Drosophila melanogaster: one gene and its partner. The protein of the gene in region 1 interacts with the protein of each later gene in a pairwise test. Each region holds a gene or a part of one and is shown in the gene's direction. Other genes may lie near its edges.

Region 1 (7,618 bases):
AGGTCGAACGGATGTCCGGTCCCCATTGATTGGCCAGAGTCCCCAATGAAAGGAGCAGTGAGTGGGGTAATTTTATAGAGGCAAAGAGATACGCAGCAAATCTGCATAATTTTAAGTTTGTGTTAAGAAACTATGTAGATGGTAGAACGACTTTCCCCATTAACGTTTGGTGGCACAAATGCATTTACAAGAAAATGTTAGAGAAAATTCCTGAAGCAACTCGCACAAAAATTGTAAATAGCCATTAGTCGCTGTCAAAGCCAAGACTGTTTAAAAAGTGTTTACACATCCAGCAGTATTAACAATATTACTAACGTAATTTTGGCAAAATTTAACCGTTTCTAAGCGGTAAGATCTCTTGTTCGTTTGTATTTTTGTATATTGCCACCATACATATGTATATACATACATACATATGTACATATATATGTACAAACATCATCAAGCTCGGTAAGCCCTCCTAGTTCTACTTCTTTGTGCAGCAAATATCGGTTTTCTGTTCCCTGCGCAATCGTGAAGCTTGCCAAAATCATAGCAAACGGCAGAGCCGACCATCCGCCTACCGCCCCAATCCCCCGTTTTGAGCCACCCAACGCCCAATCCAATATTTCCCATTGATGGTTAAACGAACGGTCTACATCCACGCATGCAAACATACATACATGTGTACGCCTAGATTCATACATGCAGACAGACGCACACATGCAGGCACATGTTTAGTCGTGTTTACATAGCAAAGCGCGCACGAAACGGGGCCTTTCGTAACGCTCGCTTCTCACGCTGTCTCCCTCTTTCTCCCCTTACCCAACCCCTCGCACTTACACCCTCTCTCTCTCACTCTCGTACACTCTTCGTTCGCATCGATGGCGACTGACGATGTCGAATGCGTATGCCCACCACTACAGATGCACATTTCGCACACTTTAACCGTTGCACATAGCCTCGTACATATAGATTTATGTATGTATATGTATATACATATATATCTATGTACATAGTTAAGCATATGACTAAATACGAATACCGCACTATTAGAAGGGGGTTTACATGGCCGTAGAGAAAAAAAAAACAAAAAACATCTTCCACACAAAGTACAAGAAATACCCAAACACACTCACGCACAGCTGACTAATTAGCAAAGCAAAACACCAAAAATCAAAACCCCCACTCAAAATCAAGAGAGATGCCACGAAACAGGGAGCCCGTAGAACGAAAGAATTAAAGAAAGCCACGCACTGGAGAGTCTCGTACCGTACAAACTAAAAAGCCCGGGAGACACCTGAAACCAAAGCCGAGAGATACCAATAAACTGCAGTGCCTTCCATTGACACTCGGCTTTTGAATACCCTAAAAACTGATTGGTGTACTTACGTACATTCATATATAAATTGCGTTTCGGTTTATATTGTGTAATCCTATTACACACATAAGCATATGATTGAATGAAAACAAGTAGAACCTTTAATAGGCTACAGTTGGTTCTAAATAAATTGAAGTGGACATTGCATTAAGTAAAATACATATCACAATGTGTTTTGGCGCAACTGTACGTTTAGTTTTCGGGACCAAATAACACCTGTTTTGATCTGACTGTACTTCGCGGGACTCGTTATTAACTGGCAGTTAACTTTTTAGCCCCGTATGATGGCGGCACAATGGAATTTGACTTGGACTCTTGGACCTGGCTAATTAAATTTTTTTTTTTGGTAAATGTTTAGAGTCGGGGCGACCTTTTGGAGCTGCGCCCGTTCGTGAACTCGTGTATTCGTTTGTTCGTGTTCGTGCTCGGTCGTTCCCGGTTTTCTCTGCCTTCTGGAACGGGGCCTGTCTTGAAAGCCGCAGAGCGCGCGAATACCGAAAACTTCTTGCATTCGACGGTGCGAAAGGGACGGGGAGAGTGATGGCATGTGGGAAAGGGAGAGGGCTAGAGCGAGGAGAGGTGGCCATCGAATGCTAAGCAGGGGCCTTTGCTTTTGCTTTTGGTGCTTGCCAAAAATAGAGCCGCCCCGCCACGCCTTCGCCCACAAAGAGCACCCACCCACCCACTCCCGCACAAAAGCAACAACATCATCATCACACCACCAATACCAAAACCAATACCAATACTGTGACCCAGCCAGCTCTCTGTGAACATGTGTCAGTGTGTGTGGGTCTTGTATATAGCATAGCTTAAGCTTTCCTTGTACCGTGGTTCAAATGCCAGGGGAAAATGGCATTATTATATTCTTATAGAGAAATAATATATACAAATAAATTTGTACAACTGTATGTAAAGAGTAAACATGTAACAAGGAAACACTAATTTTAAAGTAAATTTAGCTAGTTTGCATTATTTTTTACACCATTTATATGAGTAAGCCACAAAGAAGCTTGCCTTTTTTGATCTGCTTGATTCCCAGATGGTGTTACTAAAAAATAATGCGAATTTGAGAGAAAGTTTAACAATAAAAAGTTCAAATTCGAGATACATATGTGTAGAGTATTTAAAGAACTTAATTGTGAGGTTAAATATTCAACAAATGGTAAACTTGTAATCCCATAAATTCGTATTATTTTATAAAATTTTACTTTCATACTGAATTGGCTAAGATCCCTTAATTAATTTCCATAAGTTGCTTATGTCTTAACCACTGTGGGTTGTAACTCTGCAGCTACGTTGACGTCGGCGTCGCAGCTTAGAGCTAGTCGATGAGCGGAAGGAGAGAGAGAGAGCAGGCGTTCGTCGAGGAGGGGGCTAGCCGAATAGGGTGAGAGAGAGCGATGGCAGAGTAGGAAAATGCATAAGAAGGGGGGTGGGGGCGCAAAAGGGAGACGGACAGCAGCAACAACAATTCGGCAAAATGTTCGTGGCAGCGTTGCAGCGACGCCGACTGCGCTACGGGTGTTTGTTTTTTTCTCTTTCGTGTTTTCCGTTTTTCTTTTGCGCTCTGCATCCGCTGCCGCAGTAGGCGTCGCTGCCGGCGCGCTGCGCCAGTGTGGGTGAGCGCACGGCTGTAGGTTTGTGTGTGTGCCGTACACATTTTTCAGTTGACTTCGTTGAAATAATTTTCGTAACAACGATCACACTCGTTTGTGTATTGCGAAGACGGGCGGACGTGCGTCGGCGTCGAATGCGGAACAAGCGCTAAAGCAAACTAGCGAAAAAGTGCGAATATCAAAAGAAAAGAGAACCAAACAAATTGTTTTTTTTTTTCACCACGAGCGTCGTCGCAAAAACAACAAAAAGGAATTTAATAAACCAAAAGCAAACGAGGAGAGAGAAAGCAGCAACTAAATATAACAACAAATGCATTAAATAGTTTTGTTTTTTTTTTTGCCACACTGCCAAAATGCAGTTAGCGTTTGTTTGTGTAAGTGTACCACATGCATACATAATGTATAATTTATATGCCAAAAACAACAACAGCAATAGCATTGTGTGCAAAATGTTGAAATGAGCTCGAAAAACAACAAAAATAAGTGCGCGCATTAACACACGCACACTTGCAAAGGAAAACATCTAAAAAAATTATCACGTGTGTGTGTGTGTGTGTGTGTGTGTGAGACAGCCGGTCAGTGTGACCGTTTGTGTGCCAGAAAGAGAAGGATCGAACAAGCCGGCTGTTTATTTCTTTTATAGTTCTGTTTAAATAACAAATACACTTGCCAAAAGAATTTCATTTTGATGTGTGAATAATTAAAAAAATCAGTAAGACATAATGCAGTCTTTGTTAAATATATATTGACATATATGAGCATATATATAAATACATACACAAATAACATATCAAATTGAAATGCTGGCAGTACCAATCGAACTGTCATCCTAACAAGTAAATTTTTCAATACAGCTCCTAATATAAAACCAAACCAAAAGTGTGGATATCGAAAAGTCTGGAAAAGTACGATAACGCAAGATTACATAGAGCGCGAGCAAGACAGCATTCTAGAGCAAAAGAGCGAGAGTGTGCGGAGGAGCGATGGCCAGCGAGGATGTGCAGATCACTAGCGTCATCGATGCCAATGGCCAGAGCCTACCGCTCCACGGCAACAGTTTGGGCGGTCCCCTGGGACCGCCCGTCAAGCAGGAGCGTCCCGATGACGCCGAGATCCGCGAACTAGCTGCCAAAATGAAGGAGCAGCAGAAGCAACAGGCCGCCCAGCAGGCATCCCGTCAAGCGGCCATGCAGCACTCGAATGGGGGCGCCATTGCGGCATCCTCGGCCGGTGGCAACATGCAGCCGCCGATCACAAATGGCAATGGCCAGACCAATATCATGAACTACCTATCTCGTCATCAGAAACTACCCAACGGCACCATGCAGGTGGTGCCCGCCTTGGCCTCCAATGGCCGCTCGAATGGAGCCGTCAGCGACTCCGGCTCGGACAAGAAGTCCTCCACGGGACCCTGCGACGAGGAGTCCATTCAAGGCCACTTCGGCTGGGCTCAGTTCGGCAAGGTATCCATACCGTACATCTATCGCCAATCGGAGAAGTACTGCTCCGTGCGCATGATCGAACTGAAACTGCTGGGCAAATACCTTAACTGCCTGCATCCGGATATCTACTCCAGCTGCACCTGCGTGCGCAGCTACTACATCACCGATGCGGAGGCCCGTCTCTTCATCGAGATTAATCATAAGCATTGTGACGGCGAGTTCGGTCGCGACATCTTCAACCAAAAGGATTTGGTGGTGCGTCTCAGTGACGCATCCAAGTTCTATCAGTTCCTGGATATTTGCTATAGGAAACTAGTCTCCGGCAGCAAGACGCCGTCGGAGAAGTGCGGCTTTATTCGCATCAACAAGGAGTCCGTGGTGCCCTACACTGTGCGCAACAATCAGCAGGTTGTGCCGCTCTTTTATTTTGAGGGCGAGACCGAGAATCTAAAGACCAAAGCGGAGCTGCTCAATGGCTGGGACCTGGCTTATCTAAAGTTCTGCTGCAAGGTGCAGGGCATACGCAATGAGCTCTTCTCCAGCGAGAACGTGGCCGTGATTTCGCTGACGGACATCAAAAGCTACTTCCCAAATGGCACCGAATTCGAGGACTACTGGCCCAGCAAGGTGGTTGACTCCAATCTGCTCATTGGCAATCGGGCCAATGTCAACAACTCGGTCAATTGGACCCGTCAACCCTCGGCGCCGCCTCCAAAAGTGACCACCTCCGTTTCCGGATCGTCCGGCCCTTCCTCCTCCAGCGGCGGCAACATGGGCCAGAACACATCAGCCGCATCATCCTCCGCGAACACCGCTGGTGGCCAACAGGTGACCTCAAAATCTCAGCAACAGCACGCTGCCTCTGCCGCCGCAGCAGCGGCGACGGCGCATCAACAGCATCTGATGAAGCAACGCGCCGCCGCAGCAGCAGCTGCCGCCGGCGCCAATGGTGTGGCGAATGCGGCAAATAGTTTTGGGGCAGCCGCGGTAGCGGCCTTCAATTCCCAGGCGGCGGCAGCGGCGTCGATGCTCCAGCAGTCGCAGGGCAACAACAGGATGTTATCGCAGGCCACCGTCCAGGCTTTGGCCAGCAGCGGATGGATGTCCGGACAGACAAACCTGCAGCTCCACGCCCAGATGATGGTGAGTTGAGCACTAGGCTAGCTAACGTTTTCCTCCAATTAATGCACAATGTTTATCAAACTTTGGGATATCAAAGCTATTAGCAAAGTTTGAGAAGTAATGCCCAATCGTAATCTGGAATATAATATCAACGTTGCTATGGTATCATTTATTATACCCCAGCTACTGAACAATATTATAGATACAAGATTCTTTACACTCAACCGAATTATCGTTTTTCAAGCCTTATCTAGAAATTCGAGCCTACTTTAGAGTAATGCGAGTCGGTGTTTATGCAATGTTTGTGATATACATTAATCCAGCTCATTTGTGAATTGGCATTTTATTTTATTTCGTAAAATTGTAAATGGATACTTATTTATCACTAAGAGCTACTATTTTATACTAGAATCCTTCGGCTCAAAATCGAAATGAATGACATTTCCGGTACTTAATTGGTTTAACAAATTGTCTACCACTCCATACATTAGTAATGTCACACCCAATGTTAAATTACTTCTATTTTAATGGTATAGTATATTATAAAGTTCAAAAATGAACTGCTTAGAATGGCATTTAAAACTAGTTATTTGACTACCATTGATATAGAAAATCCAGGCCCGACTTTGGTGGAGACCAGTTCGAAAAAGGTGGAAATGGGATGTATTGGGGGTATTTTGGATGTATATGTGTGCGTACGGAGGGATTTCTCTAGAGAGTGCATGGCCGTGTTTTGTTGGCCTTGCTTGTAATGATACACAAACTTACATATGCTAGGCAGTACATATGTACATCGTACACATATATAAATCGCTGTTTGTGTTAGCGTGCTTTTTTTTTCTAGCTGATTTTTTCGCAGTTTGGCAACAGCGCAGCAGCAGCGTTCGACGGCATCAAAAACTAGGTCACCAGTATAGTGTGCATAGGAGAGTGGCTCCATCTCCCTCTATGCCCATCCCCATCTCTTTCCCCCCACTGGTGCCCTCTCTTCCCTCTTTGGGATGTGCATATGAGTGTGTGTGTGTGTGTGTGTGTGCTGGCCACAACCTGTTGATGTTGCTGCTGTTGTTGCTGCCACTACAGTCGAACTTCTATAAAGTAAACTTCCTTTCTCACGAAAGAAAGATGTTTGTTTTACAAACATTTCACCATAAATTAATTATAAATTCATAAATTTATAATTAATTAAAATTCATGTGTGTTTGAAATATTCTTAATATATCTAGAACTTGAGGAATTTGTTGTGACCTTCAAAATTAAAATCGGCCTCTAACACATAAAACGTAAACAAAAAAAAAAAAGAAATACAAGCCGTCTAGATACTCGCTATGCGTAATGGCAATCTTATCAAATCGGAGACCTAAAAACGTAGTTCTAATCGCCTACGAAATCGTTCACATAGCACAAAAAGTCTTTAAGCGTCTAATAGTCGCAATTTATTAATCGATTGTTGTTGCTGAACTAATTTGCAGTGCCAATAACTTCCGCCTTCTTTGCATTCATAATTGTTAATTATGCACAACAATTCGCCATAATTGCACACATGGTAAAGTAGGTCATCACAACGATTAACTAGTGGGTTATATTAAATTAACAAATCAAGAGCAAAAAGGATGTAAACATGTAGTTCCATTGAGTTAGTTTACTTTAGTTTAGTTTTTCAAAAATGTCAACCCTTTTTCAAGTGTTCTTCATAGCGAGTTTTTTCCTAATTCTCTTCTGCCTTCCTATCTTTTTTTTTTTAGGCGCAGCAAACGCATGCGAACGCCAATCGCGTGGGAAGCTATCGGGAGCACATGAACAACCTGATGATGAGCGGCAGCAGCCGGCAGCCGTATTCCTACAACAACCCCGCGATCTCCATGTCCTCGGTGAACAACCATAGTGGTGGCGGCGGGAATGCCCCACCTCCGCTCGTCCGCTCGGCGGCAGGTCAAAATGCCAACCACATGTAAGTGGAACGATTGTTTTAAATCTTTTCCTTCCCACACCGCCCTCCCCCCACTACTATCCTTTGAAAATTCCAAAAAAAAAAATTAAAAATTTAACAAAAAAAAAAAATTGATCATTTCGATTCT
Region 2 (10,661 bases), 9.3 Mb from region 1:
TTCCGATTCAGTATCTTGTTCTTGACTTTAGCCCGGTGACAGTGGATCTGTGGGACTCTGAAGTCCCTGAATTTTGATTCCAGCGGCGACAGCAACGACAATCGACATAATAAGATAGCAATTATTTATCAAATCTGGCAGGGGGCCGAAATAAATCGAAAGAAACGAGCATTTATTTCTCCAAATTTTTGATTAATGAAACCATTTCGCTACACAATAGAAGAGAAAGGAAAAACGAAAGTGTTGACTAGCACTGTCCAACATGAAAAAAAAAAAAATGGGGGGGCGACATCGAGATGACCCCAGAGAAGATATTTCCATTCGTTCCAAACAATATTAAAAAAAAAACCTTCGAGGATTGACTTTTCACCTTCGAACTCACATCAATCAATTCACAAAGGCCAGTTGGCGGCGCCGAATTGAAAAGTGACACTCAGCAATGGGGAATCGATTATAAAGGCACTCCACACATTAATATTATCAGATATTATTCTCAAATCAAGCAATTTGAGGACACCTTGTTGAATAGAATCGAGGCAGCATAAAGGTTGCTGCACTTGTCACTTAAATTGATGGTACATTCTGTAAAAACTTCGTTGAAAAATGATTTTCACAACACATCTAATTATAATCATTAATTTTCACATCACATTTTAAAGTGGAATTATGGTGCTTTTAAGTTTCAGATAAATCTGTTTATCTGAAAGAATTATAGTTTGGGTTTGGAGGATTTATTCCCACCTTCAGATTAAAAATTGAAGTAAACATAGTTTTTAGGAAAACAACAGTGAATAAATTGTGTTATTTATATATTTAGAACAATTAATGTTTCTGCAAAGGTACTTGCGATTACGCGATTACGAAAGCTAAATAAGAAACAACTAATTGAATGAGTGATGCATTGTATTTGAGAAGCCTTAAAGCTTAAAGCTTTAGGTTAACAAGAAACTGATTTGGGTTTGGTTTATAAGTAGTAAGTAAACTTACTTGAATGAATTTTAGTTAGAACCTTATATACCATTTAAACGTATGGTATGATATGTAATACTTAAAGATATTGAATGTTAAGAGAGTGCTTTTTATTAAGTCCTGACCATTTCCTGGAAGTCCAACATTGATGCTAACGCCTTGTGGGTATGCAACATAATAATGCGGTCCTTATTGTTATATTTTTTTATGGTGATTAATGCAAATAGGATTTGTTCCGTACGGTTTTTTTTCGCTTTAAGAACTTTTCTCGGACACTTGTGTGGATAAATTGAAGAACAAATGTGGCCAAATATGTATGTGTGCTTTTGTATCCTTATGTGGGACATTCCGGCGTCTAGCAAATACATACATATACTGTGTGGGAGTGTGGGTGAGAATTATTTTAATTCGGCAATGAAAAGGACAATGAAACGACAAGGAGCTGTGTATATGTGTGTAGGTGCTGCTATCACATAAGGCACTTACATACCGAAGCTGTGCAATTTACATAAGTTATACATGCATACATATGTACATACATATATAGTGGTGGTGGGGGCGGTCATGGTGATAGGATCGTTGAGGGACTGCGGTAGGGGTGTGGGGTGGAAAGAGGAAGCAGCAGCGTCGCTTCTTTGTCACCAGTGCTCGAATTCCATTGGTGCTGTGTGGCGACAGGGAAAAAAAATCGAAGCGAATCGCCCCCATTGCCAAAGTGTCACCCATACACAGATACACCTATACAGCGACATTCGCACCCACACACACACCCATACAGATGCACAGCGCAATCGCAAAACAAAGAGAGCCGCTCAACGCGGCCATTCGTGCGGGTGCGATAGGGACGGCGAGAGGGCACAGCACCGAGTGGACAAGACATCAAATGACAAAAATTTCAAAAGAACCTTCGTGAAGAGAAGCAGAGAGGAGAAGCCCAAGACAAAAAGTGACGTCGCAGCAGCGACAAATTACGTACTGTGTACTGTATACTGTGGCCATTGCCATTTCACTCTCGTTGCTCTCTCCCTCTTGCGCTCTTGTGCTCCGGCTCCCTCTCTCTCGCTCTGTCACACTATAGTGCCCGGCCATGTACTCACACCATCGAACCCAAGGCACCCATACCAGCAAGCGGCGAGAGCGAGCGCTGCGTTCTCTTTGGCTGGCGGCAGTGCGTGTGAATGTGTGTGCCGCACTGACCACACACACACACGTCGCATGTCGCATGTGTCAACCCAACGAAACGGTTTCGTCCACTCAGACGACAGTGTGCGAGCGGGCGCGAGATAGCCGCACGAGCGTGCCAAGCCGCTCGCACGCACGGGACGGCGCTCTTTCGCGGCGTGAGTAAGAGAGTGGTGGCTACTCTTGCCTCGCACTGCTTTGCCGACTGGGCGAGCGGGATGGACTCAAGTGCGGGCGGATCTCTCGCTCGCACTCGGGCGAGTGCCTAATGACCCATCGACGACAATGTGACGAAGGCCAATTCCAATAGCGCGCTCTCTCACACTCTTCCAGGTGCAAGAGCGAAAGAGTGAAAGAGAGAGGGCGCAAGAGCGAGCGGGAGAGCGAGCGAGAGAGAGCCAAATGTCACCCACCCCGCGTGTGCGTGTGTGTTTGTGTCAGTCAGTCGGTGTGTCGGTGTCGGTGTCGCCGCATTTGTCGCTCGCTCTCTGCCCGCTGCGCTGCCGGCGTCGCAGTCGCCGCACAAATTCGTTGGTGAAACGACAAATCGACAATCAGTGTCACCCACGACATTCGAAGAAGTGGATCTCTGCTGTCCCTGCTCTCCGCACATCCGCATCTTCGTCGCTACTTCGTTTGCCACTCCGCATATTCACATATTCGCATCCGCATATTCGCGTCCAGTCCACTCTTCTCTCTGCCGCGCGACCCAGTGCATAAGTGTGCGTGCATACGAGCGTGTGTGTGTGTGTGTGTGTGTCATCGTCAACTGTGAACGACCAACTTTTTTAATATCTCAGCAAAATGCAACAAAAATAAATGCACCACGGGCATGAAAACAACAACAGCACACAGCTCCAACAGTGAATTCTACCATCTGAATTTATCAACTTTTTACGCAACAAAATATCAAAACAAAACAAAGCGAAAGAAACCCTTTTTTTAAATCTCAAACCTGTGACAAAGTGAGAAAATCTAAAACAAAAAAAAAAAACAGCAATAAACCAAAATACAATAAAATATCTACAACTCGCTGCTAAATTAGCAAAAGGTATGTATAGTTCGAGTAAAGTTGATTTGCCGTCGGCACTTCAAGCAAAGAATTCAAATTCAAGTGAAGTCATAGTGAATATTTTTCGAGATCAGAGGAGTATTTTCTAAAAAGAAATCCTGGTGCCATAAAAATATTACCCATTCAAGAATTGTGTTATGAAATAGGAACGCAACAATAGGATTCTTTTCGTGGTAAATAATGATCTTGTTAGGATCACATAGGCTGCTAGTGGCATTAATATGGTATTACCATTTTCATGGGATCTCTGGTGATGTGCTGCCATCTTTTACCTCTAGTCTATGGATTTTCTTATAATATCCTGACTTTGCTAAATTGAAAACAGCTTGTTAATCCAATGTTCGTAAACCCATTTTTGTCTATTTGCTGCGTGAGCTTCGACGACAAAAAAGTGATGTCTTCGGGGGAAACGCCAAATGTCAAAGTTGTAATTAAGATTTTTGTCTGCGGTTTTCGAGCTCTGTTTTTCTCGTTGATGTCCGGACCATCGGCGTTGTCATCTTTGGACCATCGCATGCCCCTTGCATGCCCCTTGTGCCCATCGACTCCTGCTTATTATAATGTACTACTATTAACAGCAACTACAACAGCAATTATAGCCGCCGGATTGCTCACATCTCGGCATCTTCCATCCCCAACTGCCACACACCGTACTCCACAGATCTTGGATCTACCATCTACCATCTAAAGCGTCTCCCAACTCTCGGAATTCTTCAATCTTGTCGTTTCTTGTCTTGGGTACTTTCAACATTTTGCTGCCTTTGCCACTGCCGATAATCAAAAAACGTTTCGTCCGAGAGCCATCAAAAGTTGTGATTGGTTTTTCCCCTACCCCCAGCTGCCCAACATCACCCCCCCTTTCACCATCGGTGGCTTAAGACATTTTAAGCGTTTGACAAAAATAATTACCCATGTACATGCATACTCACCTCGATCTGTCGACCGCGTGCACTGAGAGAAAATAGAGAGGTTGTTATTGTTTTCCGTTGCGCCTTATTGTGCTATGCAAGATTGTTATGATGCTTAGATCTTGAATTGTTTTATATTGAAATGTTAAAAGATCTATATTTTTTTTTGAGTTGAATCTCTTTTTTAAAAGATTCTTGGAAGATAAAAAGGTATAGGCACCTTCAACTCATATGATATAGTTAACTTATAATGATCTAGAAAATTATTGCAACATCTTTGGGTCATTCTCTATTTCTTGAATGGTAACAATATTTTCGGCACCTAGTCAGAAACTGATTACTTCCAAGTACCTGACAATTAAGTTTTTTTTCCCCCCTTTTTGCTCTTCTTTTTTTTTTCTTGCGCTTTCGCATTTTCGCCGTGTGTACATACACTCATTTTAATGCTATTGTTGTCATCGTTACTAATGAGCCCCATAAAAAGCGACCATCTCCTGGCTTCCTGCAACTGTGTGCGTGTTACCTGTATGCCTGTATGTGTGAGCCATAGTCGTATGTGGTTTTCGGCTTAACTTTTTAGCTGGCATTGGGCAAGCGAATGCGAATGTGTGTTCGACTTTTGAGATCGAATCCAGATAGCCAGCCACGACATCGCACACACGATCATCACCATCGTCATCCGCATCTCACCGCAATTGTCCCCAGTTTTGTGACGCCCCTGGGTTCGGTTCACTTCTTTTTTTTTTTTTTTACCCCTGATTTGTTTCTGTTTTTAACGTCAAGTCGACTGCTCACAATTACGGTAGCGAACGGAGTCCACAATAAAAAAAATGAGCTAGCTCTGGCTTTAGCTTTGCTTTTGGTTTTGGTTTTGGCTTTAACTCCGACCGATCGGATCCAAAGTCGAAGTCCGACACTGATCGCCGCATGTTGTCGTCGCCGTCGACGTTGTCAGAGGCGATTTTAATGGCCAGAAGAACCGAAAAAGCTGTAAAAGATTTCGCTCGAGTAAATGAGGCAATGTGCACTTACACAAGTAATGCGCCAGTGTTAGTGTACAGTGGGCCTTGGCTACGACAGAAATTGGGTGCATAGGAACCAAAATGATAAAGATTAAACAAATGATGTAGCGTCAGTCACTGGGATACCCCTTTTGATTATTTCAAAATACAAAACATGGCAACTCTAGTTGTTCTACTGTACTATCGGCTCGACATGAAAGATATGCCGCCATCGGTGTCGCCGATATAAATGTTCGCTTGTCTGAGTTATTGTAAGCAGTGTGTGTCTTACCAATAAATCTAGCTGGATTTGCACAAAGTTGGCTAAGCTCCTTGGAAGCTTTCACTTGGGAATTTCGGTAATACACTTGAGATATGACTTTAGAGCGCTTTCCAATGCTATAGATTAGTGCTTTTGGCGTGGCAATGCAGTCATATGTACATATACATTCGCCTCAGATATTAATCTATATCTTAAGGATATCGAATATTAATTAATGAAAAAGCCATTTGAACAGCAATGGGGTTTTTTTTTTTTTGAAGCACACAGCTGGCAGCCTTAAAGACTTTCTTTTAAATCTGGATTTCAGAATGTATCTTACAGCAATGACCAACTAATCGCTGTAATCCACTGATTAATTGAGACCCCCCCCCAAAATAAAGTTTTCTCCCCTTGACTTATTCGACCGTCTTGACTTTTCGCACTCTAATTGCGCATCAATGACCACTGCCCAATGTCCCAGGTCCAGGAGTCAATGTCCATGTCCCCGGCACCACAGACCATTCAACAATTTGCCCTGCTGACTCTCGGCGATAAGGTTGATTCCAGTTTCCCAGTTGTAGTTGCGCAATCGGATTTGCCCCGCAACCCTGGCAATAGTTTTCGATTAGGACTGACCGATTCACTGACTTCCTGATTGACACTCCCTGATTGACACTCCTAACGATTCGTTTCTGTTTCTTGTTTGTTTTCCAGGCACCACCAGTCATCGCCATCGCCATCGCCAGCGCGACCATAGAAACAAAATCCACCACAGACGACATGGAGCACATAATGAATCCGTTCATGTCACCGGCTTATCTGCTGGGCCATGGCCCACATTCCCACCAGCATGTGCACTCCCATCTACCGTCACACCCGCAGCCAAATGCCGCCTCTCCGGCCAGCTCACCCGGCGGATCCAGTGGCTCTGGATCGGGATCGGCAGCGGGATCGGGCACTGGATCAGGTTCATCCTTAAAGCCTCGTCGCTGGGGCTCACCGCCCATCAATCTGGCCGGTCAGTTTATCAATCCAGCCACGGGAAAGAAACGAGTACAGTGCTCCATTTGCTTCAAGACCTTCTGCGACAAGGGCGCCCTTAAGATTCACTTTTCGGCCGTGCATCTTCGCGAGATGCACAAGTGCACGGTGGAGGGCTGCAATATGGTGTTCAGTTCGAGGCGTTCGAGGAATCGCCATAGCGCCAATCCGAATCCCAAACTCCATTCGCCACACATCCGGCGCAAGATCTCGCCGCACGATGGCCGCACTGCCCAGCAGTTTCCGGTTTTCTCGCCCGGAACAGCCGCAGCAGCGGCCGCTGTCGCCGGACGACTTCCGGTTGCCTTTCCCGGACTTCTGCCACCGCCGCCGCCGCATCATGGTCACCATCCGTACGTCATGTTCGGCGGACAGGCGGGTCTACATGGCTTGGGCCTGCTTTCCACCGGCTGTCAGGATCCCGATTCTGGATCGGTGGACAATGAACAGGATGCTGATCCCGAAGATGACAACGACTTTGTGTACGTGGACATGCAGGCCAATAGCTCTAGTCCGGCGGCCTCCAGCGAGGATCAGGAGGAACACGAACGGGATAATGAGCAGGATGAGGAGATGCACTGCAGCTTGAGCCTGGCCAGCAGTAGTAGCATTGCCGCCGATGAGGAGCGGGCAGCTGACCAGCCATTGGATTTCAGCCTTCACAAGCGTCGCAAGTCGGAGCAGGATCGGGAACAGGAGCAGGAGCAGGAGCAGGAACGGGAGCGGGAGGCGGAAAAGGAGCAGGAACAGGATGTGGAATCCGACAAGGAGCACGAACCCGAACAGGAGCATGAGCTGGAGCGTGAGAAGCGCTCGCCCAGCGATGCCTTCTCCATGGATCAGTTGCTGGGCAAGCGTAAGCGTCACGACAGCACCGCCTCCAGCTCCGCCTGTTCCACGGCAGCCGCCTCCTCCGCCTCTAGTTCCTCCGCCAGCGCTAGCGCCAATCCACCACAGACGAGCATCAAAATGGATCTGGACCCGGATAGCGACAGTGCCTACATGACCAGCCGGCGGCAAATGCTCCCACTGCCCGTTCTGGACCTCGAGGAGCATCATCATCTGCGCCTGCTGCAGACCCAGATGTTTGCCGCCGCAGCGGCTGCCGCTGCCACCAGCCAGGCACCGCCCACCGCCTTCCTGCCGGCGGGATCACCCGTGGATCTGGCCAAGGACTCGCCGCCCATGTGGAGTCTCCTCTCCGAAATGTACCGCTCCATGCTGCTGAAGACACAGCACCAGCAATACAACCACCATCACCAGCTGCAGCAGCAACACCAGCAGGAGCAGCATCATCATCTGACCCTGAGCCACCACCATCAGGAGCAGCACCATCATCTGGGTCATCACCACATGGGTCACCACCACCATCATCACCATCAGCACCACCAACAGCAGCCGCAACAGCAATCGCCGGCGGCCACGAATGCGCCGATTTCCGTCTAATGTCCAGACTGCTGATCCATGGCGATGATTTCTAGATGATTTCCTTAGTCAAATTTGTTTTTATATTTTTTTTTTGTGTGTGAATCGTATTTTAAGAAGAATACATTTGGTGGCGTGCTGCATTACACAAAAAGGTGGAGCTTCAGGTGGTGGGGCTGTGCCACAGCTTGACCATTAAATGGCTGGCACTCCTCCTCAGGCGCGACCCCGCAACACCCGCAACCAATGCCACTAAGTACCCCACCCCCCCCTCTGAAAACTGGAATTGCTCCGAAACTAAGCTTTTTCTGCTCGTACATGTGTTATATGGATTTTTTTTTTTTTTGGAAACCTATGTATAATGTATAATGTATACTGTAGTGCGACATCTAAGTGTATAGTATTCAATCCGTTCCTCAGTGTGAATGTGCAGATGCATGAATGAGAGTGTGTGTGTGTGTGTGTGTGGGATCCCAGGATCGGATCCAAAAAAAAAAAAAAATTAAAGTCTGTCATCTGAAAAGCGGGCTGGGCAGTGCAGAAGCGGGGATTTTGGAACGGGTTCCGTTTCCCTGCCCCCTCTATCGGTGTACAACGAAGTATTGATATTTATAACGAAATATATATTATGAATGGCATATATTAAATAGTTTTAAGACAATTTTTTTCGTAGCCAATAAAACTATATTGTATTGTATAACTTGGATGTACTAACACAGCAAGCAAATTCTATTGAAACATATCCCCCCCGTGTGTTAAAAAAATAAAAAACCAGAAGAGATTCAATTCAACCAATCCCTAAAGAAAAAAAATAAACCCAAAAAAAAAAAAACAAAATTATAAAAATCCATCGCAAAGGTTGATAGATCGTAGGTGAACGAAAATGTTATTGCTATCGCAAACGAAAATTCCTCCCGACGATTGTGTACTGTATTACAACAAGATTTTAAGTTTTTTATTAACAAATAAACAACGGCAAAATTGAAGAAACATGTAATCAAAGATGCTTTTTTTTATTGGTTCTCTGGGCGGATACATAATTTTCATGTTTTCACTATGAAAATAGAGCATATGTACTTTATGTGAATAATATAGATGAGTCATCGATTTTATGCGGATTTTGTTTTTCCATTCGAAAGATATAAAGTCCAGTGGAAAATATCTACAAAAAATTGCTATTTTCGTTAAATGCCATTTAATTCAGATATATTACTGCCCACCTTAAATCATTTAGTAATGTTTTTACGTAAATAGACCGATGTGCGTAACTCATTTGGATCACAATCACAAGTCAAGCTAGCTCTTCTCGCCTGCGAAAAGCACACGTACATATTTGCTTGTCTCAACGAATCCAGATTCAAATGTATATAGTATTGGTCTGATGAGATCTATAATGGGCAACGCCCTCGAAATGGTCTGTCCCTCCCGTTTGCACAAATGAGTATCCGAAATGCCGACGGACACTCACAAGAAGGCGTGACATGCGGCATAAATTGGTTTTCGGCTCCGCAACTATAGCATAGCATACCATACCGAAACCATACTTTACGGTTCCGAACCATACCATACCATACCAAACCAAACCATACCATGCCATACCATACCATGCCATACCATACCATATTCCTATACTCCATCCAATACTTGTACATATCGTACTCCCCCCGCGAATCGTCGTGATGAATGACCAACTATTGGTCGCAGCGGCAACCACATCATCATCATCATTATGGATAGGCATTTGAGGCCACTTATGGACGGATTACACACTCAGGCGCACGCACACCAATATAGATACAAATATATGTACATATATGCAGATACAGATACATAGTCTGTAGTGTAAGTGGCCAAATAGAAAGACCCTAAGTAGACGGCTGTAGGAATCTCACATTCTCGTCCGCCACTCGCACATATTTACGATTCTATGAAACACGCAACGATATTAACACCGCTTCCACAATATTCTCTGCTTTATTTTCCCAATCACTTCGGACACGGCTTACTTTAAAGCGACTAATTACTGGCCTGGTCAAAATGGGGTCGAGTGTAGCTCTATAATGGCCAAAGAATGCTTTTTGAGATCAAAGAACACATATGTACATACATATTGTACGCCTTGTTTCAATATTGTCCCATTCGATTTTTACATACCAAATAAATCGGAATGCAATCGTAAAAATTGTAGTTCAGTCGTTCGTTATGCAAAAAACTCCACGATTGTTTGTATTTTACGACTCCCCCGACTTTTAGTTGTACCATTATTCACAAACTATTATTCAGAACGCTTAAGATATCATTGCTGTCGGTGTGCCCACAAAATCCGAGCCCAAAATTCCACATTCATGTGGAGAATGGTGCCCGTGCCCGTGCCCACACATCCACAATCGCATCCACATGGATGTGTATGAAACCGAAACCGCAAAATTGACATGGATGCCAGACTGTGAAAATGTCAAGTGGTTTGAAGCGAAGGATATGAGTCGAGAGTTCCGTGCTCAGCGTTCTGAATGCAGAACGAGCACAGCTCGCAGCTAAAGAACTCGAGAATTTGGATTCCTGAGTTTTCAGAGACCGAAAAACATGAGCTGAGCCGAGCTGAGCTGAGCTAAGCCAATCCCCAATCCCCAATCCCGAATCCCCAATCTCCATTCCCATACCAATACCCAGTCCTATACCCACATAACCATACCCATACCCATACCCATTTCCATTCCCATTCTGATGGAGAGTGATGGTGCAGGGGTGGATGAAGCTAAACGCTTGCCACATTATGAGATGATCCTTGGCAACGATGTCAC

Evidence for each region. Proteins that work in one complex are often made in the same cells at the same time.
Region 2: the proteins of CG43736 (region 1) and disco interact in a two-hybrid assay, tested with the Drosophila melanogaster proteins (one large-scale study listed by BioGRID).

What each region holds. Positions count from the first base shown.
Region 1 is NC_004354.4:6,865,431-6,873,048, forward strand, and holds the start of CG43736 (uncharacterized protein), read left to right. Parts: upstream 1-2,796; 5' UTR 2,797-3,350; intron 3,351-3,830; 5' UTR 3,831-3,959; coding exon 3,960-5,561; intron 5,562-7,285; coding exon 7,286-7,491; intron 7,492-7,618.
Region 2 is NC_004354.4:16,208,792-16,219,452, reverse strand, and holds disco (disconnected), read left to right. Parts: upstream 1-2,702; 5' UTR 2,703-3,202; intron 3,203-6,108; 5' UTR 6,109-6,174; coding exon 6,175-7,881; 3' UTR 7,882-8,855; downstream 8,856-10,661. UniProt on the Drosophila melanogaster protein: Required for the establishment of stable connections between the larval optic nerves, the Bolwig's nerves, and their target cells in the brain during embryonic development.